Linked DNA regions of Arabidopsis thaliana. The protein of the gene in region 1 interacts with the protein of each later gene in a pairwise test. Each region holds a gene or a part of one and is shown in the gene's direction. Other genes may lie near its edges.

The links.
Region 2: the proteins of AGO1 (region 1) and CAM6 interact in a two-hybrid assay, tested with the Arabidopsis thaliana proteins (one study listed by BioGRID).
Region 3: the proteins of AGO1 (region 1) and AT5G25270 interact in a two-hybrid assay, tested with the Arabidopsis thaliana proteins (one study listed by BioGRID).
Region 4: the proteins of AGO1 (region 1) and APX1 interact in a two-hybrid assay, tested with the Arabidopsis thaliana proteins (one study listed by BioGRID).

What each region holds. Positions count from the first base shown.
Region 1 is NC_003070.9:17,886,587-17,894,584, reverse strand, and holds the start of AGO1 (Stabilizer of iron transporter SufD / Polynucleotidyl transferase), read left to right. Parts: upstream 1-1,988; 5' UTR 1,989-2,157; intron 2,158-2,684; 5' UTR 2,685-2,692; coding exon 2,693-3,328; intron 3,329-3,415; coding exon 3,416-3,624; intron 3,625-3,700; coding exon 3,701-3,850; intron 3,851-3,935; coding exon 3,936-4,075; intron 4,076-4,173; coding exon 4,174-4,283; intron 4,284-4,376; coding exon 4,377-4,483; intron 4,484-4,573; coding exon 4,574-4,712; intron 4,713-4,783; coding exon 4,784-4,900; intron 4,901-5,368; coding exon 5,369-5,476; intron 5,477-5,574; coding exon 5,575-5,646; intron 5,647-5,996; coding exon 5,997-6,119; intron 6,120-6,207; coding exon 6,208-6,370; intron 6,371-6,458; coding exon 6,459-6,718; intron 6,719-6,835; coding exon 6,836-6,978; intron 6,979-7,077; coding exon 7,078-7,140; intron 7,141-7,225; coding exon 7,226-7,289; intron 7,290-7,372; coding exon 7,373-7,508; intron 7,509-7,604; coding exon 7,605-7,678; intron 7,679-7,756; and 4 more.
Region 2 is NC_003076.8:7,213,935-7,217,912, reverse strand, and holds CAM6 (calmodulin 6), read left to right. Parts: upstream 1-1,860; 5' UTR 1,861-1,962; coding exon 1,963-2,038; intron 2,039-2,799; coding exon 2,800-3,173; 3' UTR 3,174-3,439; downstream 3,440-3,978. UniProt on the Arabidopsis thaliana protein: Calmodulin mediates the control of a large number of enzymes, ion channels and other proteins by Ca(2+). Among the enzymes to be stimulated by the calmodulin-Ca(2+) complex are a number of protein kinases and phosphatases.
Region 3 is NC_003076.8:8,756,980-8,764,619, reverse strand, and holds AT5G25270 (Ubiquitin-like superfamily protein), read left to right. Parts: upstream 1-1,614; 5' UTR 1,615-1,995; intron 1,996-2,595; 5' UTR 2,596-2,617; coding exon 2,618-2,737; intron 2,738-2,988; coding exon 2,989-3,106; intron 3,107-3,291; coding exon 3,292-3,363; intron 3,364-3,510; coding exon 3,511-3,626; intron 3,627-3,756; coding exon 3,757-3,828; intron 3,829-3,902; coding exon 3,903-4,031; intron 4,032-4,114; coding exon 4,115-4,184; intron 4,185-4,265; coding exon 4,266-4,429; intron 4,430-4,785; coding exon 4,786-4,950; intron 4,951-5,087; coding exon 5,088-5,153; intron 5,154-5,242; coding exon 5,243-5,366; intron 5,367-5,507; coding exon 5,508-5,795; intron 5,796-6,021; coding exon 6,022-6,359; intron 6,360-6,659; coding exon 6,660-6,737; intron 6,738-6,828; coding exon 6,829-6,837; 3' UTR 6,838-7,186; downstream 7,187-7,640.
Region 4 is NC_003070.9:2,435,642-2,440,191, forward strand, and holds APX1 (ascorbate peroxidase 1), read left to right. Parts: upstream 1-1,639; 5' UTR 1,640-1,914; exon of another isoform or gene 1,915-2,351; 5' UTR 2,352-2,363; coding exon 2,364-2,482; intron 2,483-2,569; coding exon 2,570-2,744; intron 2,745-2,849; coding exon 2,850-2,915; intron 2,916-3,067; coding exon 3,068-3,202; intron 3,203-3,293; coding exon 3,294-3,373; intron 3,374-3,446; coding exon 3,447-3,549; intron 3,550-3,636; coding exon 3,637-3,695; coding exon of another isoform or gene 3,696-3,708; exon of another isoform or gene 3,709-3,778; coding exon 3,779-3,794; 3' UTR 3,795-4,024; downstream 4,025-4,550. Other genes in the region: ATMPK13 (Protein kinase superfamily protein), read right to left, coding at 1-71; AT1G07885 (uncharacterized protein), read right to left, coding at 1,022-1,186.

The sequences.
Region 1 (7,998 bases):
TACAAGTAATGTTTTCGATAGAATTAATGGTCACTATCCAAATTCCAAACCATACGCTAATGGCTTCCAAAGGAAAACTAAGACTTTATGGAGTTTTACATAAAGTCTTCGTTCAAACATCATTTTCATAAGTCTTTTGTAACTTTCTTCCTCTTAACGGCTTCCTACAATATCTCGATTTAGAACTCCAATCAACATCTAATATTTTGTCTACAACTTTATGTTTTTTCACCTTACTATATGATCTAGACAATCTTTTGTTAGGTAAAGTGTCTAGATATTCTTTCACCTAATTAACACGGAAACGTAAACTTGTACAAAAACATCTATTGATTATAGAAGAGAACCGAGCCGTGAGAGTCGTTTCTCGTCAAGACCGCACCAATCGACTCAAACATGAGCCAAACTGTACGTAGTTCTTATAAGGAACACAAACCTCCATCGTAAACCAACGTTTTCGATCGGTTCTAGCTAGACTCGCCATGCATGCATGTGCGTTGGTGCCCGTAATTACGTACACCAATCTTGATTGATATCAATGCTTATATGCCGTTAATCTTCATCTCGACTCTCGAGGTAGTAGTACTTGACGAGTTCTAAGTTCTTCTTCCGTTATGAGAAATCATATATAAGTTCTTCTATACATCTCGCTTGATTATTATAATCTTTCGCCTTTTAATTTCTCGTTTGATTATTATAATTAATGTTTATAATGAAAAGAATCATTATTTCCCAAAGCAAACGAATCATTTTGAGATAGACTTACAGTTATCACAAAAAGAAATCTAAACGTTTTCCCCAAGATTTAGCCTTTCGTCAGCATGTAATTACTCGTGACATATTCTCTAGCTCATATTTCTTCTTCACGCACGAGCAACCAATTTTGTTATATATGTATAAATCATCTTTGACAATTATATATAATACAGATTTGTTACGAGTATATGAATTTTTTTGAGGTACAGAAGCAAATCAACTAGTGAAACTAAATTAAAGAGCTAACCATCAAATAAAGTAAATTGAATTAAACAAACAAATCATACCACGTGATGACAGCCACCACATTCCTAAAGTTAGAAAATTGGCAAACCTGTAAAAAAGCATCACTTCCCCGAAATCGCAGGTCATATTTCTATGAAAACGAAAGAGAGTTATCTATATAGTAAATGGCTATATTCATATTTGCCCCACCACCCATGACCCATCTCAGTTAATAAATAGTTCTTCTATTCACCTCTATACTATAATCATTCACTTTATCTTATATATAGTCTATAAAACTAAACGTAATTCGCATGATTTTGCCTTTCGTTGCATGAAAAATCCTCCTTGACAATGTACAATTCGTTAGTACTACTCGATCAGTCGCCTTGACTCACGACATTTTCTCTAGCCACTGTTTTATCTTCACACACAAGTACCAATTTTAAACTGTTGTACTTAACTGTATAACATCCTTTATACGTAACGTAAGCCAAAAATTATGATCTAATCAGTTACTACAGATTAATAATAAGATTAATAACGGCCGGTCTACTAATTTTGAACACTTGTGCATGCATTATCTCTCGTTGAAATAGTAAATTAATGCAACTAACTTTACAAGATTAATCGAGGTATATTATAGTCTAAAACAAATATTTAAATTAATGCAACTAACTCTTGAAGATTAATCGAGGTAACGCATCACACTAATCATATTTAATCGGATAATACATATACTGTTAGTAAAATAAATTAAAAAAGATTTGGTAGATAAACGACAAAAATGTTTTTCGTCTTGTTGTTTTCGAGAAGCTTCTTTTTCCGGATTAAAAAAACATTATGCAATTCCACGTCATCAGCGCATTACAAACAATGAAAGACTACACACGACCTTGGGTCAGCATTCCAAAGACCCAACCCTGACTCGCCACGTCGACATATGCCAGCTATTAATGAAGAGGGTAATTCCGTAACTTACTCTAACCACAGAACCCTTGAATTTAAAGTGTAGCAGTAAAATCTCATTTCTTTGAGTTATCTCGTTTGTTCGGAGTTAGAGAGAGAGAGAAAGATATAGAGAGAACACAGAGAGGCGAGAGCGACGTAGGGTTGGTGTTTCGTACGGATTTTCTCGGTCAATCTTAGTTTCTCCGGCGAGAGATTGCTTTTCAGGTAAAAATGGCGGCGGTTTTGGTGTTTGTTCTTCACTTAATCTGTGTTCGATCTGCGTATGAACTCGATTTTTCCACTCGATTGGGTGGATCCGCTTCGTTTTGGTGTTATGGTTCACTGATAGTGTTGTATGTTTAGTTGATCTTTGCGATTTCGGATCTATTAGCTTCGTAGCTGTTTTGGTGTGTGTGTTCGTCTTCGAAGATATTTAGGTTTTTTTTTTTTGTTGCTTCAAATTTCTTACTGTTTCGTGCTTGTTTTCTTACTTCGTTTTCTGTTTAGGTCTTTGATTGTTTCTTACTAGGTTTTCTATGTTTGCTTTGGGCTGTTGAATTTGGTTTTCTATCTCTCTAGCTAATCACTGGTTTTCGTGCTTCTGAGTCGTTTGTTTTTGAAGCTAGTTAGGGTTTTCTTCTGTTGCTTCTATATTTCGATAGTTTTGTGCTTGTTTTCAATGTTTGCTTCTTATTTTCAAGGATAATTTTAAAATGACCCACTGTTTTTGGGTGGTTGTGTTATTTTCACAGGAATCATCATGGTGAGAAAGAGAAGAACGGATGCTCCATCTGAAGGAGGTGAAGGCTCTGGGTCTCGTGAAGCTGGTCCAGTCTCAGGTGGTGGACGTGGTTCACAGCGAGGTGGTTTCCAGCAGGGAGGAGGACAACACCAAGGTGGAAGGGGTTATACTCCTCAACCTCAACAGGGAGGTCGTGGTGGTCGTGGATATGGGCAACCACCACAACAGCAACAACAGTATGGAGGACCACAAGAGTACCAAGGAAGAGGAAGAGGAGGACCTCCTCATCAAGGAGGTCGAGGAGGGTATGGCGGTGGCCGTGGAGGTGGACCTTCTTCTGGACCACCGCAGAGACAATCAGTTCCCGAGCTGCATCAAGCTACCTCACCTACTTATCAAGCGGTGTCTTCTCAGCCTACACTGTCTGAGGTGAGTCCTACCCAGGTACCAGAACCTACTGTTCTGGCTCAGCAATTTGAACAACTCTCTGTTGAACAAGGAGCTCCCAGTCAGGCAATCCAGCCTATACCTTCTTCTAGCAAGGCTTTCAAGTTTCCAATGAGGCCTGGTAAAGGACAGAGTGGAAAGCGTTGCATTGTGAAGGCTAACCATTTCTTTGCTGAACTGCCTGATAAGGATTTGCACCATTATGATGTGAGTTTTGTGTTCCCTTAGTATTAGCTACCATACATCTAATGTCTATTTATAAATTTACCTGACCAACTGTGTTCTTTCTGTTAGGTTACCATTACTCCGGAAGTTACATCAAGGGGTGTCAATCGTGCTGTGATGAAACAACTTGTTGATAATTATCGTGATTCTCACCTTGGAAGTCGTCTTCCAGCGTATGATGGTCGAAAAAGTCTTTACACTGCTGGTCCACTTCCCTTTAACTCCAAGGAGTTCAGAATCAATCTTCTTGACGAAGAAGTAGGGGCTGGAGGTCAAAGGTCTAGTTCTTATGGTTTCTTGTTGATTTTTTTAATAAGGAAGTTTCAGAATAATAACATCTTTCCTATTTTACAGACGAGAAAGGGAATTTAAAGTTGTGATCAAGCTAGTTGCACGTGCTGATCTGCATCACCTAGGAATGTTTTTGGAGGGGAAACAATCAGATGCCCCACAGGAAGCTCTGCAGGTTCTTGACATTGTTCTTCGTGAGCTGCCGACCTCTAGGTACTGGTTACTCATCCTATGGATGTTTGCTTCTTTACTACCATGCTTGTAAGTCTCAGCTGGTTTAGTTTTGCTAACATGTTAGAATCAGGTATATTCCGGTGGGCCGGTCCTTTTATTCCCCTGATATAGGAAAAAAACAATCATTGGGGGATGGCTTGGAGAGCTGGCGTGGATTCTACCAAAGCATTCGTCCTACACAGATGGGCTTATCACTCAATATTGGTGTGATGGCTTGCTGTATTACATTCAATAATTTTTGATATCTGGTTCTCCTTGAATGTTTAACTCATGGTTGTGCTGCAATTTTGTCTGTTTTGTAGATATGTCATCGACAGCCTTCATAGAGGCAAACCCTGTGATTCAGTTTGTCTGTGATTTGCTTAACCGGGATATTTCTTCTCGACCTTTATCTGATGCTGATCGTGTTAAGGTATGAATCAATTGTCATTTTCTGTAGTAAGTGAAATGTTGTATTAATCTACTCTTCTTTGCTTAGTGACTTGGAATCTTCTTCTGTCAACAGATAAAAAAGGCTCTTAGAGGTGTCAAAGTTGAAGTGACTCATCGAGGAAACATGCGCCGGAAGTACCGCATTTCCGGTTTGACTGCTGTGGCCACTCGGGAATTGACGTGCGTATTTGTTTTAGATTTACTACTCTTATTTCGCGAATGTTGAACTTGATGAAATTAATTTTTACTCTCTGTTTTTATCCTTTTCAGATTCCCAGTAGATGAAAGAAATACTCAGAAATCTGTTGTAGAATACTTCCACGAAACATATGGTTTTCGCATTCAGCACACTCAACTACCATGCTTGCAAGTTGGGAATTCTAATAGGCCTAATTACTTACCAATGGAGGTAACTTTGAAATACGTCATCAGGTTTTATTAGCTCACCAGTACTTCCGATTCTAATGTGTTGCTGCACAGGTATGCAAGATTGTTGAAGGCCAGCGGTATTCCAAAAGATTGAATGAGAGACAGATCACTGCTTTGCTGAAGGTTACCTGTCAGCGCCCGATAGATCGAGAAAAAGATATCTTACAGGTATGTTTCTTTATTTTCGATAACTTTGTTTTCCTTCACTTGAATCAAGAGTATCTTTTTGTCCGCCTATCTTGATAGTCGTTTTAAATAATGTATGCTGGTGATAAAGCCTCATTGTGGAATAGATCATTGTAAAATCTGTTTATTCTTACTTGGTTGCATGTGTTTACTTGAAGTAAGTGATTTTCTCAATTCATATCTAACTTGTTTTTAATCATATAAACTTGTGGCTGAAAGGATGTTATGGAATGAATGGCTTAAAAACCTGTTTCTTCTTTACTTGGATGCATATGTTTGCTTGAAGAGAGTGATTTACCTTGAGATGATGCCTTTACTTCATAAATAGTGAGGCAGATTACCATCTTCAGAGTTGTGCTCTTAATTTAGCAGCGCGTGTGTCTTCTGGCTGCTGTTGTTGAAAACTCAATTGTTTATTGCTAACATTATACAATATTTTCTGATTTCTAGACGGTGCAACTCAATGATTATGCTAAAGATAATTATGCTCAAGAGTTTGGCATCAAAATAAGTACTTCTCTGGCTTCTGTTGAGGCTCGTATACTGCCTCCTCCATGGGTATAGTAATCGTTCCCATTGTCTCTTTGCTATTACACTTTTTCTCTGTATCTTAATGACTCAAATTAGGGTTCCAATCTGATTTTAATGTTCTGCAGCTTAAGTACCACGAGTCTGGAAGGGAAGGGACTTGTCTGCCACAAGTTGGTCAATGGAACATGATGAATAAGGTAACTAGACGAAAATGTTCCTGGTTTTCAACTATGCACTTACATGTTTCTTGCTTGTGTTACCTATATATACCTATGCTGTCATTTTTATGTGAATATTTTGTAAATCATGGCTGAGCTGTATATTTCCAGGTAATTGGCAAGAAAATTGTTTATTTATTTGTCTGTTATGAGACATATTACTCTAAAATGCTATTCTCTTGATATGAGTATGGGTGTGGCACTTGACTAGTTGCAGAGAGTATTTTGTTCATGTAGCTATGTAGATACACACTGAATTTGTCTTTGTTATTTTTTGAAAGTGATCACAACGTTTTCTGTTGTCTGGCTAATATGAGTCTTCTCTGCAGAAAATGATCAATGGTGGAACGGTGAATAATTGGATCTGCATCAACTTTTCTAGGCAAGTGCAGGACAATCTAGCGCGTACATTTTGTCAGGAACTTGCTCAAATGTGTTACGTATCTGGCATGGTGAGTCTTTGGAAGCACAAACTTGATCAGTTTATTAACCTTTCCTACACTGATTCCTTCCCTTTAATTTTTTATTTCTTACCTGCAGGCATTTAATCCGGAACCAGTCCTCCCACCAGTCAGTGCTCGCCCTGAGCAAGTAGAGAAGGTCTTGAAGACTAGATATCATGATGCCACATCAAAACTCTCCCAAGGAAAAGAAATTGATCTGCTTATTGTCATTCTGCCCGATAATAATGGATCATTATACGGTATGAGCCATGGTCTCGGATGTTTCATTGTCTACTTCTGCTTAGGAACACACTCTCAACTTATTTTCCTTAATAATATCCATTGCAGGTGATTTGAAACGCATATGTGAGACTGAACTCGGCATAGTCTCTCAATGTTGCCTGACAAAGCATGTCTTTAAGATGAGCAAACAATACATGGCTAATGTTGCGCTGAAGATTAATGTGAAGGTTGGAGGAAGAAACACAGTGCTTGTTGATGCTCTATCTAGGCGGATTCCTCTAGTCAGTGATCGACCCACCATTATATTTGGTGCTGATGTTACCCACCCTCACCCTGGAGAGGATTCAAGCCCATCTATTGCTGCTGTAAGTTAGCTTCTCCTTTAAGATCTACTTCTGTATATGGATGCTTTTGTTTATTTTCATGGCCTTAACCTTTTCAAATTGTGCTTGTTTTGTTGACAACGAAATTTTTGTTTTCAGGTTGTGGCATCTCAGGATTGGCCTGAAATCACTAAATATGCTGGATTAGTTTGCGCTCAAGCGCATAGGCAGGAGCTCATTCAGGATCTGTTCAAAGAGTGGAAGGATCCTCAGAAAGGTGTGGTGACTGGTGGCATGATAAAGTACGTGTGGATGTTATTTAATATTTTCGTGATTGGGTTTTAGCTTTAGCTTGCTCTTAAGTAACAGATCTGTACGTTTCTCCCCTTACTTTTGAACAGGGAGTTGCTCATAGCCTTCCGTAGATCAACTGGGCATAAACCACTAAGGATCATCTTCTACAGGTATTAACTCTTCTTATGGCACTTACTTGACTAAATAACTTTCTGTCTTTCTTTCTGAAATGTATTATATGGTTATTCTGCACAGGGATGGAGTCAGTGAGGGACAATTTTACCAAGTTTTGCTCTATGAACTTGATGCCATCCGCAAGGTAACAGTTACTTCTAACAAATGGCTTGTGTTGCGTGCTCGTTTTCTTCTGTTTAATCTGATTATTATTTCAACTCATTTCAGGCCTGTGCTTCGCTGGAAGCAGGTTATCAACCACCAGTGACATTTGTGGTGGTGCAGAAGCGTCATCACACGAGGCTGTTTGCTCAGAACCACAATGATCGCCATTCGGTGGACAGAAGTGGGAATATTTTACCTGGTGAGACAAGTTTGGATCTTTGTCAAGCTTTTTGTGCGTAGACCTAATCAGCTGAAAATCCCTTGCATTGGTTTTTAACCCCTTTGTTAATTGTAGGCACTGTTGTGGACTCTAAAATCTGCCACCCTACAGAGTTTGACTTTTACCTCTGTAGTCATGCTGGTATTCAGGTATAATTTACAATCTCAAATGAGTTTGTGGGTGAGAATTTATTTGAAGTGTTTAACAAATCAAAACTCCATTAACAGGGCACTTCTCGACCTGCTCATTACCACGTTCTTTGGGATGAGAACAACTTTACTGCAGATGGACTTCAATCTCTGACCAATAACTTATGTTACACGTAAGATTTCTTACCTTTGTAACATATTCCTTGTTACAAGTGTTTGCAAGATTGCAAGGAAAATAAGAGTAACATTTAAACTACCTTTTTGATTTGTACAGGTATGCAAGATGCACACGCTCAGTTTCAATTGGTAAGTTTTGTGTT
Region 2 (3,978 bases), on another chromosome or scaffold:
AAAGAACAGTAATATGCCACAGAATTCAATAAAGACAAAGCGTAAAAACAGCTGAAAATCCACAAGGCAATGACAAATCTAGCAGCGGAGATTTTCTCCGGAAATTCCGATCATCCTTTTTAATTACTCCAAAAACAGCCTAAATCTCTAGAATCATGACTTAGATAAATCATATATTGTTCAAGCAAGCATCTACAAATCCAAAATTCTCCACTAAACCAATATTTGTACTGATACACAATTGAAGCGAGATTCTCGAGTTAGCTACAGAACTAATCATCATCACCATCATATAATATAGAGATTATGCACACTTTACACATAAACCAAAAGCGTAAGCAACTCTCTAAGTTACCGAATTACTCATCGAATTCGAAGCAAAAACATGGAGAATCGACCAACAAACCTGCAAAATTGGACGGAGAAAAGTGAGCGAGTAGAGGTGACAAAACCGATGTAGCCGCCTTTGGGGAGCTCAAGAGTTAGCAGGAGAAATTCAAAAGAAAATCTATGGCGGAGAATTCGCAGGAGAAATAAAAAAATGATGGGCTAATACAAGGAGCAACAAGAGATAGAGATGCGACGAAAGAGATACGATGATTGTAGAGAAATTTGTAGCTAACAGACAAAAACTTATTTAATTTCGTGTAGGGACTCTCTCACTTTAATGGACACTTGTTTTTTAATTTTTTTTTTTCGTATGGGACAATTATACGTTTCTTTCCTTTGTTAAGCTCCTCAATTTTCTTAAGAAATAAAATTATGTTTTTTGCCTTTTTTGGTCAATTATTTTGGGTTAATTAATGTAATGACAAAATATTTGAGTATTCAGATTTTGACTAGATATGGACCTAATCAATAGGTGTTTTTTTTTCTTTCTCATTTGAGTTGTTTCTAAGTAATCGATGAATTCTTATGTTTTTGTTACAGACCATTTAAAAAAAAAAATAGTTGTAACTGATTTTATCCACTATTATATATTTTTAAGTCTTAACTCTGAAGTATATATGAGTTTTTTGTAAGAAAGAAAAACCGTTGCTTCTTCACTCTCACTTACTTACTAGTCACTACAAAGTTCAACAAAAGTCATACATTGCAACCGTTTTGTGTAGTGTCAATGGTTATAGACTGATGACAATTATTAGAACATTGAACAAATCATCAACGGCAAAAGCTCATTAGACTCATTTGTAGCGAGTACATATATATTCTAGAGGTGTGGAATAATAAGACTCATATAAATGATCGAACACTCTTTTTGTTTTTAATATAAAAACTAAAAAAATTTAAAAACAGTTTACTTGGAAAAAATGTAGAGATATTGACTAACTTTTTTATTAAGTATCCATTTAAATTAAAACAAAACATGTAAAATCGATTCAAGTTTAACTATTTCTACAAAAAAGTGTATTCATGTAAAATTTTTGCTTATACATATCCGTTTCTGTAACGTAAATTTAGAGGATACTCTAATCATTTCATATGTATCCATATATTATTTTTTTCAACATATTATAAGTTTTTTTTTAATTTTCCAAATTAATTAATATCCTTAAATATCTATCCTAGTTTAAAAACTTTTTATAATTAAATATTTAAATGAAAAAAATAATGTCAAAAGTTTAATTGATATACTGTAAAATATTCTACTAAATCAGTTTTGAAAATAGTCAAAAAAAATTAATAATTGTTAATTTGATAGATTTATTACCTAGTATATATGTCTAAATTAACTGCAAAGGTTATAGTTTTCTTTATAATTGTCTTAAAAAACTAAACTAAAAAGACAAAAAAATCATAAGAATTACTGAATTAGCTAGTAAATCTTTAGAGGCCCAACCATAAGTTGTTGGGCTCTCTCTCTTTTATAAGCTCTCTTGCTGAATTATTATTAGAGAGGCAAATAATATATTCAGTAGCAAAAAAAAAATCTGGGATTTCTAAAAAAAGGTAAGAAGGAAAATGGCGGATCAGCTCACCGATGACCAGATCTCAGAGTTCAAGGAAGCCTTTAGCCTCTTCGATAAGGATGGTGATGGTATGTTTCTTTCCCAGATCTTTGCGTTTTTTCCCCGATGATTACTCCGTCCGTATACGAGTTCTGGAATTTGTTTGACAGATTTATGATCTTCTTCAGTTTTCTGTATGATTCGTGTTTGTTTCACTTGTGAACGATCTAGCTTTTGGCTAATTCGATAGCGATTCATGACTCACGCTGTGTTTTGTTCTTGTTCTGGTTCAGTCTCGTGATGCAGCAATGAAATGTTTTGGGAAATTTATCCATATGTTGAGATTTTGAGTAGTTTAATTGTTGAAAAAAGGATTGATGTTGTAGATATCAGGAATGTATTCTGCTTTGATTGGTGAAAAACTTGCAAAATTCTGTTGTGCATTATTGGCCTTTGCACGGTGAGATGTGGGTTCAATAGAACGAAGTGGCTAGGGTTTTGATTCTGGCTTTGATACCATGTAAAGAGATTTGGAGAAGAATATTGTGTCTTTTTAATACACATGATTCTAGATTTGCTAGTACACACACATAAGGAAAGACGGAATAAACACAGAATATTTCTTTTACCCTAACACTTTAGGTAGGACTTGGAAGAGTGATTATTTTTAGTTTGTATGAATGGAGTTTCTTTGTTAACTTAGTAGGACTTTGTTGAATGAAAAAAAATCATTCTCTTTTTTACTTACCAGATCTTCATCAGTCGAAATAAGAAATACAATGGCTTTTGTTTGTTGACTGTGGATATAAGTCTGTCTCTAAAAGCTTATTATACCTGAATCTGGTTGCAGGTTGTATCACCACCAAGGAGCTCGGAACCGTGATGAGGTCTCTGGGGCAAAACCCAACAGAAGCTGAGCTTCAAGACATGATCAATGAAGTTGATGCAGATGGGAACGGGACCATTGATTTCCCGGAGTTCCTGAACCTGATGGCAAGGAAAATGAAGGACACTGATTCAGAGGAAGAGCTCAAGGAAGCTTTTAGGGTTTTTGATAAAGACCAGAATGGTTTCATATCTGCAGCAGAGCTTCGACATGTCATGACAAATCTCGGTGAGAAGCTATCCGATGAGGAAGTTGATGAGATGATCCGAGAAGCGGATGTTGATGGCGATGGTCAGATTAACTATGAAGAATTCGTCAAAGTCATGATGGCTAAGTGAGAGAATTTTATCTTAAGCCCACAAAAAGAAACAAGATTTATGATTTCTACAGTGAAGTTACATTATGACTTGATTCTGGTTGCGTTCTTTAGGACATCATTTTGCTTATTTCCCTTGTTTGTTTGGTTAAGCCTTTTAGTGTTATGTGAAGTATGAACTCATATTTTGCTCTCTTTTTTGGGCATCTGATTTTATTCTGTAAATTTTTGTTAGTTGTTGTTTATCTTAAAGCAATGCCCTAAAATTTGGCCGCGTTTAAAATACCAGTAAGAGAATTGACCAACGAAAACGATTTTGCAACATCGCCAACGTTATTGTTATTTTACATGAAAAATATAGTAGTTATATGTATCAATAAAATTTACAAACCATTTTGTTTCTTAGTTTGTAAACCGTAAGTCCCTAACCTTCAAACCTTTTTTCCATTAGGATCATCAAAATTGGAAATTCTTTAGAAACAAATGTAAGTAGCCTCTAAATCTATTGTTGTCTAAAAGTTTTTTAAATGATCAAAGAGGTTGTAAACCTAATTTCGTACACTCCCTGATGCTAGAGAGACCAAAAGATGTAATGTGACCATCTCCCAAACGAAAATTGGACTCTTGACCTCTAGGTCCAGAGACTCTTTAGTCAACTAAGTTTGTTGGTGGATGCTTGGTTTATATAGGGTCAATGTTAACCCGATCCAGATAGCGAACCGGACTACCTTATAGGTCATCAGATCATCGTATTCACCCGCGGGTCAAATTATTATAATTTATTCTATAGAGATTATATAGTTTTATAAAGAGAAATTGCCTCAAAT
Region 3 (7,640 bases), on another chromosome or scaffold:
TGTGGCCAACTATGTGGATGGATTGCAAAAAAGATGTGATTTACTTTACCAGACATTACAATAAACCACCAAGATTTGTGCTTCAATGGATGGTGAAGGATCCTAATAACCCCTTTAAATATAAAACATTATAAACTGTTAGACACGTTTTTTCAGAATTAACTAATAGTAATGTAAGTTGATTTTGTGTTTCATGTCATTATGAAGTAAGTCATTAGAGCTAGGACACTGTTCTAATTTCGTGTTGAACGTCTCATAACTACATATAGTTTAATGCTTTTAAAGTAGTCCTCAACAATTATCATAGACTGTTTAAACCAAACCGACCGAACCAATAATTTTAGTTTTTGGTTTCAATTTGGTTCAAAGTTATAAACCACTCAGTGAAATTCTAAATTGATTTTTGTTCTCGGTTATATGGTTTAGCACATCAAAACTGAACAATTTTTTTGTTCAGTTTAGAAAAAACCATATAAAAAAAATCCTAGATTTCTAATCATCATTTCACCTTCCTTATTTTCTAATCTCTTGTCTTCAGCTTGAGATCCTCCTTCTTCGTTCTTTTCTTATCTTTTTATTCACCATTGTTTTTTTTGAATCTTTTTATTCGGTGTTATGATATTTTTAGCGAAAACCCTAAAATTTGACGAGTTTGAGTTTGTTATATAACTTGGACTTTGATTGTATTGGAATTACCCAATTATTTTATTGATTTACTGTTGACTTTAGCCTATTATTCAAACCAAATTATAAAAAGTCTGTTATTTTATAATTGATTTTAAATCTTATAACCAAACCTAAAAATCAAGTTCCAAAAACAAAACCAAATCAAAATTTTATTCGGTTTAATTTGGGCAGAATTTTAAAAAATCGAAAAAACGAAAAACCAAAACAATTGAACCAATTAAACTGATTAAATTGAATGCCTATTGTTACTTTAAACAATAATACAATATCATATTAAGATCAATGAGACTTTGACCATCTTCATATTCACTTTCAAAAGATTTTCTTCACTCATCTTCATTTTCAACTACTAAATAAAGATTTTCTCTTATTTTATTTTCCTCTATACTTAGAAATCTCTATTTTTAGTTTACATTAACATTTAGAATTCTCCATTTTAAAGGTTGGAGAAAAACCCAACTCCAAAATAGAGTTATTCTAATTTGAAAGAAAATTGAACATATTTAAGAGCATCTTCAACTCATGTTTTTTTTTTTTTAATTTTGAACTTGGATTTCCCACCAATCCATTTCTCTGTTTCTTTTAATTCTATAACGAATATTTTAAATATATATTATATTTAGTTATTAATTTTTGTTATGAGCCTCTATTTATTATTATTATAACTTCAACCCAACTATTTTAATTTAAAAGATAAGAAACAAATTACCATATTTATTTTTAATCTGATCATTTATTGTATAAAAATTACATTACACAATATTAATAAAGAATTTAAAACATAGAAAATATGTCTTCATTCTCCATTTACTTCTAGAAAACAAAACTTTCATCAAACACGACAACGCTTCAAAAAATCACCTCATTTTTATTTCTAAAATAATATTGACATAAATTTGATTTATATGAAAAACCAAAATATACCAAATCTGAATAAATTAATATCCTCTTTACTAAATATGCCAAAGTCAAAGATATTTTTACTTTATAAACCTCTCCTATTATGCAAAAAACCAAATTTTATTTCTTACAATTCAGCAAAATTAAAATTCCTTGCCTAAAAATTAAAAATCATCAAATTTGAAATTACTTTTAAAATTATTACTCACGTGATAATAATAATATTAAAGCTGAAGAAAGGCAAAATTCAGAAAAAATCGTTTTTTTTTTTTTTTGCCAGGCTTCTCTCACTCTCCTTCGCCGCGGAATCGTCTCTCGGAGCCGCGAAAGGACTCTTAGGGTTAAAGATTCTTCCCCAAATCTCCTTCTCTCTTCCTCAGCTGATTTCGACTCCGATCAATTTTCTAGGTTTCGATTCATCTCCGTTACTAATTTCGTCTTTTATACCGTTTTGTTCGTTTTTCTAGGGTTTAAGATCGATTCTTCTGTTTTTTTTCTGTCACCGGAAGAGCTTAGAACTTTTCTGGTGATTTGATTGAATTTGATGAATATGGTTTGCTATTTATTAAGAGTTTTCGAAGTTGAGATTCCGTAGCGTGTTTATTGATTATGATCACATCTTTACCTGTTTTCTTTTCCGTTTCTTGTGGAGTTGGAGTAGTTAAAGACATGATTCTCCTCTTGATTTTGATATAAAGTGTCCATCTTTACGAATTTTCAGAGATTTAGTCAAGAATTTCGTCTTAGGCAAAAGCTATATTGCGGTTTCATTGTTTCTCCTGAAGTCGTAGTCTTAAGATTTCTACATGATTTGAACGAGTTTTATTGGCGTGGTGAAATTTTCTTAGTGCCGTCCATGAAAGTTTGCTTCTTTAGGGTTTTGTATGAAATATTTCTTCTATAGACTCGAAAAAGTGTTGAGTTTTGTCTCAGTGCTTGATGATCAAAGGTTGTTTTTGCATGCAGCTGATATAGCTAAATATAAGCTGATACTTTTATTGGTTCCAGGTGTTTGAAGGCATTTGAAAGGATGGGAGACAATGGCAAAGATGAAATTATGGTCGAGGCATCTCAATGCGCTGGTGCTATGGTTGAGATAAAGATAAAGACGTTGGATTCTCAAACGTACACCTTACGTGTAGATAAATGTGTATGAAAAACGAGCCATAGTGGTTTAGATTTCTTATGATGTTTCATTTTCTGTTTCCATGAACTGAGACTAGTACCTGTAAGGTCTGTCTTTCTTCGTATGCATGTGTTGCATAATGAAGTTTCTAATTACTAAAATCAATCCTTTGACTAAAATTGTGGAACTAATGCCTTATTTCAATACTCACTTGTTTATTTGTGTCCTAAATAGCCTTTCTTATATTTGCTTTCTGTTTTCTTGTTTTATCTCAGGTCCCTGTTCCCGCATTGAAGGAGCAAGTTGCCTCCGTTACTGGTGTCGTTACGGAACAACAACGCTTGATATGTCGTGGAAAAGTTATGAAGGATGATCAACTCCTATCAGCCTATCGTATCCTTTTTGTTCTTTCCAGCATATTGCCCCAGTTCTTTCTTAGAGTTTTCCTTTTCAGTTGTGATTTGTGAACCCTAGTTTGCTGATGTAGCCCTTGGTTTTGAATTCCTTGTTTACAATTCCAGTGTCGTATGGTAGACTTTTCCTTTTACCGGTAAAATTCCTTAATGGTTCCATCTTAGATGTTGAAGATGGCCACACTCTGCATTTGGTAGTCAGACAACCTGTATCAGAGAGTTCAACTAGTAATGCAGGTAGTTTCAAGTTCCCGTACAAATTTGTGGCCCCAAATACTGTTACTGAACATCTTTGAATTTCTATAATCATGATAGTTTAGCATTTACCAATGCTTTTTGTGAGACTCTATTTCAACATGCTGAGTGGAAATATTGTTTTTATAGCGGCTGATCCTGCTTTGAGTGCTGGTGACAGCCAGGGCAGTCAACGATCACGAGTTGTAGTAGGATCCTTCAACATTGCTGAACAAGCTGATGGAGTCTATTCAGATCTTGGACAGGTATACCCTCTTTTATCTGTTTGATCTGTTTTTATTTTTGTGTGTTGGATTAGATGTGATCCTTTTCCTTTTTTTTGACAATCAAAAATATGTGCGATCCTTTTCATGAGCTTTGTTTTATGTCTGGTAGATAGTTTCAGCTGTTCTGGGTTCACTTGGGATCTCTAATCCAGAAGGTGGTATTGAAGGGATCGATGATATGGTAATTGTCATATAATTTGCTGCATATTTGTATAAATCGTTTTTGGATGTAAGAGAGTTCCCTTTATTTGTCAGGGTCCTCTTCATGAGAGGCTGTCTCGGAGTTCTGGTCCTGGCACTGCAAGAGATTCTTCCGGAGGGCGATCTGCCACACCAAATGCTGTGGACCAGACGTCTACTCCCTTGGCATCTTCACAACCAGCAGTACGAGCTCCCTTGTTTCCATGATTACTCATTTTACATAATTTTTATAAGGTACATCATACGCTAACTTTTTACTACTGCAGGCGATTCCAGATTCGTTGACAACCTTATCTGAATATCTGAATCATCTCAGACAAGAGTTTGCTGCTAATGGTTAGACTAATTTTTAAATGTTTGGTTGTGTGTCCAAAAACAAGTCTCGAGAGTCTGACTGTGGGACTGTAATTTTTGCAGGTAGCAATGCTAATAACTTGCAAGATTCTGAAAATTCAGTGGGCAATGTGCAAGATTCTGCTTCTACTACTGGAGAGAGTCGGATTCCAAGACCATCTCATTTGGCAGAAGTGCTGCAATCAACAAGGCAATTGTTGATCGGTGAAGTAGCAGATTGCTTATCTGTATGCTCTTTTACTTTTATCTCATACATTCCTTTTGAGAAAGCCATTTGTGTCTTTGCTTATTTTGACAGTCTTGACCAATGCGGAAATTATTACATCAATTTATGGGACTCAGATAAACTCTTAACAGAACCTCCTAGCCCTGTAGACTTATTGTTTCCGACTTTTAGTACCCTGGGAACAACTGTATCTTCTTCGTGAATGTTGCAATGTTAGAATATTGAAGTTAGTAAGGCTAGTTCAACATTAGTGACATGCAGGGTTTTTGCTATCTTTTAACTGACTGACTTGAGCTGGCATTAGTTAATCAAATCCAGGGAAACAAAGAATAACCGTTTCGTATCTCTCTTTTGCAGAATCTTTCGAGGCAGCTCGTGGATCATGTAAATGTGACCGATCCGCCAACCCGAAGGTTGTGCCAGTCAAACATGCTTCAATCAGGATCCCTCTTGGAGAGTTTAGGCATTTCACTCCTGGAGCTTGGCCGTGCCACCATGATGCTTCGTTTGGGACAAACACCTGTGCGTATTCTTTTGCTACATATTGTGGATCTAAATCTTGCAATTTTTATTATTGATGCATTAGTTTGCATATGATTTTGTTCACAGAATATGATACACCCATACATCTATATGACACTTGTTATGTTACATGTCAGGATGATGCTGTTGTTGATGCTGGACCTGCAGTGTTCATATCCCCTACAGGGCGAAATCCCTTGCCGGTCTATCTATTTGTTACTTTCTTTCACCATTACCAGTGTGTCCACTTGTCCTGCTCACCTTACCTTTGTGTTACCTTTAACTTTTGTAGTCACACTCCTCTCGGCTGGGCACGAGTATTGGAAGCTTACAAGCAGGAACCGCACATTCTAACCCCTTTGCGGGACAATCACTTGCCTCTGCCCCAAGAAATATTGAGATAAGAATACGTACAGGTAAGAATACGTACAGGTGCTATTCATATCCGTAATTTCGAAGTATTAACTGTTCTTTCCTGCTATATATTGAAAAACTTCATATTAAGTTCCTTTTTTTAATCTTATATCTGGATTCATCTTGGTGATGTGTTATATTAGGATCTTGGGTGCCCGCCAGTGGGACCAACCAGAGAGAGGAAAGTACTACACAACAAACCCCTGGGCAGACAATCCCTTCTACACCCAGCAGCACTACTGATCCTGCCCCCTCAACGAGAGGTCCATCTGAACCTCTTCGAAATCCTGTGGCCTTAGTTATACCTGTTGTTGCTCGATATCAGCAGATATCTCTTGGTGGACGTAGCTCTACTGGATTGGATGGTGTACATCAGCCTGTTACTGAATCTTCTAGGCAGCCACAGAGCGTCGGTACTCCAGGAAGAGAAGGTTAGTTCTAATATAACTTCCCTACACTATTGTACTGATTTATTTGTTGAATTGTCGATAAGAGAAAACTTCACGTCTGTTACCTTTTATTACTGGGTTGTCTCATATTATGTTTGATTTGATGTTTCCCTTGGTTGTTTTGGCTTCAATCTTCTTAGACCTGGTAGATGATGTGTTACCTAAACGCAGGATATGTCATAAATCTTTGCTTCTATGAAATATGTAGGTGATAGCAGTGCTTCTCCTGGCGGTCGGGGTTTGTCTGAATTGAGAAACAGAATCCATCAGTTTTTGAGGCCCTTATCTCGTCGAGAAAACCAAGCCGGGAGCACGGAGTCTCAGGGTGCAGCAAATCCCTCTGCCACAGCGTCCACAGAAACAAACGAAGCAGTTGCAAATGCACAAGTAGAGCCAGCAACTACGACAGATGAAGGGAATTTCATATCGAGTGTTCTTCAGCAGATCATGCCGTTTATATCTCAAAACGTAGCCTCCTCAAGCTCAGGTGAAGCTGCTACAGGCAGAGGCAGCAATAGTAGACAAGCCTCTTCGAGAGAGGCAGAGGTACCATTGTTTTCACCTTTTAACATGTTACTTATTTAGTTATTTCCTTAGAAGCCTTATGCAACATGCTAACTTGTCATTTACTTGTGGTGAATTCGTGTTGGAGTAATTAGATAGTGAAAGAGATTTTATTATCGTAGAGCTTTGGTTGTGTATAGAATAATACAGATGGGTAGGAGTAAAAGTGGTAAACCTTATCAAATCCGGTGCTTAGGGGTTAGTAAAATCTGATAAATGGTAACTGGTGAGAATATACAAATGTGTTAATGAGTGTCGGTTGCGGATAAATTCGAGGTGCAGGAGGAGGAAGGTACAGAGCGAGGGAATTCAACTCGGAGACCTGAACCACCATCACCTCCAGAGTCAAAACGTCAGAGGGTAAATATGAAGATCCATTTGGTTTATGATTCATTTGGTTTGTGTTTCATTTGGTTTGTGTTTACTTAAACATGTGATGATGTTTATGCAGAGAGAGTGAGAGATTGTTGGAGCAAAAGCGAAGAGTGGAGAAGCACACTTTTTGAAGAACGATAGTCTTTTTTTTTTTTTCTTTTCACTTGTGGTAATTTATTCTGAGCTTTTGATTGTTCGTTCAAATGGTATTGGTGGTGTTAGCCAAAAGATCTCCATTTTTTTCTTTTTTTATCTCCACTGCCAACATTTTCAGAGTTTGTACTCGAATAATAAACATAAGTGCATATACATAGATTAGTACTGAATTATATAGGGGAGGCTAAAGCATGAGAGTCAAAAGTGAAGTTTGGTAGCCAAATAATAGACTTTGTGTTTAAGGACCACAAGGACAAGTTTCTCCAATGGAACACTTAAGCTTAATGTTTACAATAAATGTGGTCGAGGTTAACTCTTCGGTGGACAAAAAAATTGGTTTTGAGCATTTTTAACTTGCAGGTTAATTTGTCATTCTAACAGAGCTCCGAGCAACATTCCTACGAAAGCAAAAACCACAACTTTGCGACAAATACCCTGAAACGGAAACAAGGATATTATTACCTTTGGTAAATAGTAAGATCTCAGTTGTTTTGATGACTTTTTGTTTGTGTATTTTCAAGATCTTGTAATTCCCTCAACGTATTGCAATTTTAGAGCATGAACCTTGTATTATATACCAAACCAAAATAATATTGGTTGGCACTCTTATAGAACCGAACTAAACCGAAAAACTTAAGAAACCCGAAATGTTTTAACTTTTAGTAAAAATAGTAAAATTTCATCAAACAGGGAACAAAATTAAAGAGAGTAAAAGCAATTTAGAACTTATAA
Region 4 (4,550 bases), about 15 Mb from region 1:
TTACCGAGTACATTGTACATAACATATCTACCATCATATGTCAAGATCCCTCCATCTTCCCTTTTCTCCATCTCTTCTTTGGAAGAAGAACTCGGATCAAGACAGGTTTTAAGATTAAAAAAGGAAGCAAGTTTTAAAAGACTGTTTCTCAAGTAGCTGTTGTTGCCGTTAAAAAGGCAAAGCAGTGAGTAAGAGGAGAGAAAATGGTGGCACCTTTTGCTTTTGGTGGGCCAAATGAAGACAAACTTTTTTATTTGATCCGTTGAACTTCGAAATTTGAATGAGAATTATTATTACAAGGTTAAAACTTGACTTCTGCATCATTAAAGAAAAATTCAAAAGAAACAAAAGAGAAGTATACTATAGAAAAAGCTATCTCATTGTGGATCAATAGGTCCCTAGGAACCAATAGTAAGTAAAAAGCAAAGTGGTAAACATACAAAAGCGAGATTATTCTCAAGTCTCATTTCAATGTCAAAACTCTCTCTTGTGTGCTAAGTAAACAGAACCTGTGTGAAAGTAAAACACCTCTGAACTCATTTTCACTATCTCACAAACCTGCATTATCGATCCAATTCTCCCATCTTATATCTTCTTACATATTAAGGATCAGAGAAGGTGATCAAACCTGATAATTATGTAGATGTAGCTGAAGCTAAGATATAAGGCTCAGGAACCACAAAAACATATCACTGAATATTTCAAATTAGCTTCAGCATTTTATGAGTCAAAATACTAAGAAACAATGCAAATTCTCTCATGAAAAGGCTCTCACATTGCTTTTGCATTCTCCGCAATTATGATCCAAACCTTAACCAAAAACAACTACCCTATAAGAGTATAAGACCATGTCTGCAGAAATCAGTAGTAACACAAGAATTTCATGAGATATTAAAGAAGAAGAAAAGTAGGCCACACAATAGAATTGAGGAATCAAGAAAACAGATACATACACTTGGGAAGGACCAGCACAGCAGACGTCTGTTACTACTAACTAACTCAGACTTGTCATTGAACTATATTATATACGGCTCACTTGTTTTGCTGCAGTAACTGGCTTATCTTCTTTTCTGGCTTGCGTTAATAACATGAGTAGAGAGAAAACACGACTTCCGTCGAGTAGATTCCTATCAAACAACACCGGTTCTCGAATCTTTCGACAAGCCAAGCAAAAGTAGGTGGGCATGAAAATTTGTTCCCCATGAAACAGAGGACATTCGTTGTTACCTATTCTAATAACCGATTCAAAATTCCGAATCGCAGACTTAATAAATGTGGACAATTAACCAAACCGTGCATTGCTAGGTCTAAACCGCATTGGTTTATGACCCACCAATCAAGGAGCGATGGGTGAGAAACCTAATAACACTGCTGCTGTGACTTTATCATATCCTTAGTCCAATTGGGATCTTCGTCTGCGTGAGACGCGTTCACACCTGCGACAGATGAAATCACGGAAATACCACTGCCCAACGTGTTCGCAATAAAAGTCCTCTGATGCCTAATTTCGTCAATTTACTGAAGAAAATTCAACATCAACGCCCTTTTTGATAATTTCCCCAAAGTTAGTGGGCCCTCCACACGAAGCATGTATCCTCCAATTGCATATTGCCAATTATTTCCTAATAATATTGAAGGATTATTCTTTTCCCATCTATATACCACCAACCCTAAGATCCGAACGTCCATTTTAAAGCCGTGCGTTTAATCATGATCGTCAATTATATTGGCAAATTTGACCACACGATATCCGTCATCTAACGGCATCTACAGATCTACCAGAACGTTCTCATTCATGACTCTATATATTTCGCATTTCTTCTCCTCAACGCTCTCATAAAAAGTAGTACTCGTGTCTTACTCGTGCCAGCCACTCGCATTTCTCCAGATTTTATTATCCTTCCTCGAAACAAGGTATGACGGAAACTCTCTCTCTCCCTCTCTGATCCGTCGTTGCTGCTTCCATTTTCATCTTGACTCGATCGGATCATTGTTATGCTTGGCTTGATCTGTGCTTAATGATGTGTTTTTCGTAGTAGATCCACGATTCGTTGCTGCGATCGGCGTTATTATCGTCAGCTCTCTCGTTTCTGTTCTGTGGTTCGATATTGCTGAGTTTCTAGGCTAATCTTACGAATCTGTGAAAGTTTTTGAGAGATTTGGCTTCTGTAGCTCACTCCTGCTTGATTTAGGTTTTTTTTTTTTCCACTCGTATGAAGCTGTTTTAGAGGCTGTTGTTGTTTATGATTCTCAGCTTGTTATGTATAGTTGGATTTCGTGAGTTTTGGATTTGATCTGTGCGTTTATTTAGTAGTGAGGCTCATGTATATATATCTGTGTATTTGTTCCAGAGCTTAGCTAAGATGACGAAGAACTACCCAACCGTGAGCGAAGATTACAAGAAGGCTGTTGAGAAGTGCAGGAGGAAGCTCAGAGGTTTGATCGCTGAGAAGAACTGTGCACCCATCATGGTCCGACTCGCGTAAGTAACTAACCATATTTGCTTGTGGTTTTGAAGTATGTAGGATTATGAACTTTCTCATGGCTGATCTGTCTGGCTAAACTGCAGATGGCACTCTGCTGGAACTTTCGATTGTCAATCAAGGACTGGAGGTCCATTCGGAACAATGAGGTTTGACGCTGAGCAAGCTCATGGAGCCAACAGTGGTATCCACATTGCTCTTAGGTTGTTGGACCCCATCAGGGAGCAATTCCCTACCATCTCTTTTGCTGATTTCCATCAGGTACATGGTTTTAAATTTTAAAAAGCACTATTTGGTTAACGGTGATAACTGTAAGGTTTGGATTCTAACTCTAGATATCCTTGTGGTGTGAAATTGATCATTCAGCTTGCTGGTGTTGTGGCCGTTGAAGTTACTGGTGGCCCTGACATTCCTTTCCACCCTGGAAGAGAGGTTAGTCATTGCTGTAGATTTGTTTGCCGTCTCTAAGGTTATCATATACTCAATTTGGTCGAGAGAACGTGTTCTGCTTTCTTTGTAGAGATGGCTGATTGATAATTGTGGGACTTGATTTTCTGTTTCTAAAATGCATATCTTGATTTCAGGACAAGCCCCAACCACCTCCAGAGGGTCGTCTTCCTGATGCTACCAAGGGTTGTGACCATTTGAGAGATGTCTTTGCTAAGCAGATGGGCTTATCTGACAAAGACATTGTCGCTTTATCTGGTGCCCACACTCTGGTTCGTTTCTCTCCAACTGCTTAAAACTTTAAAATTTGTTTGCTCCAAGCTTACAAATTCTGATGAGTGCTAGCAAAATATGATATCGCAGGGACGATGCCACAAGGATAGGTCTGGCTTCGAAGGTGCATGGACATCAAACCCTCTAATCTTCGACAACTCTTACTTCAAGTGAGTATCCCAAGTTCCCTTGTAGGAGGATTCAGTGGCTTATATGGTTACTAATCAAATTATATATGGGCAGGGAACTCTTGAGCGGAGAGAAGGAAGGCCTTCTTCAGCTTGTCTCTGACAAAGCACTATTGGACGACCCTGTTTTCCGTCCTTTGGTCGAGAAATACGCTGCTGTATGTCTTTCATTCCCTTTTTTCTGTTTTTCACTTGGTAGAGAGAGAGAGAAGAGAACTCATGGTTTCTTGTGACAATGTGAACAGGATGAAGATGCCTTTTTCGCTGATTACGCTGAGGCCCACATGAAGCTTTCTGAGCTTGGGTACTTATCCTGAATCTATGAATCATTTAGAAAGTAAATATTAATTCAGTGGTGTGATTTGAGTTTGTATCTGTTGGTTGCAGGTTTGCTGATGCTTAAGCTGTGACGTATGCTCTGTGTGTGTGTGTGTGTCTCCCCGAGAGTCATGGCTGTTTTTGGTTGGGGGCTGGAGGGGTCGCATTGCATTTGAACTTTGTCATATGATTGCTTAATGTACTCTCGGATTTACGTATCTGTTTTTTTCGGTGGGTTGCGATTTGAACACATCCGTTGCGCTTTTGCTGCTTAGACACATTAATAAAATTAATTTCTCTCGATATTTATGCCTCAAATCCATTCATATCTGCTTAGTCTCTAATAACAGTAGAACTTGGATTAAGAGTTTGAAGATACAGTGGCTAATTGCCTATATAAAGTGATAAACAGCCAAATCTTTAATCAGAAGTAGAAGTATTAGTATAACATGATTTGACTATGTACTACGAGATCAATGGTAAACCTGACATTGTTCCAAAACCAATCTAGACCAGTTCACTTACCGAATTTTAGTTCCATACCCATAAACCAATCCAAAGTGATTCTATCACCACATGCAACAGCATGTAATGATGTGGTGCCCGAATAGGCGGATTCCATCGATGTTGATCAGACGATGCTTTAGATCAAAGACCGGCGTGAGCTGAGACGGATGGCTCTGGCTTATAATGTCACCACTATGATTACCAAAGTGTTTGCTGCTTTGATCACGGCCGAGGGAGTAAAGAGCTTGAAGTCAAGTGTTATTCAAATGATTGTCATTCAGCACTCCTTTTCTAGGTGAAGGATCTTGCCTATGCGCTTCTCTAAAACCGTTTT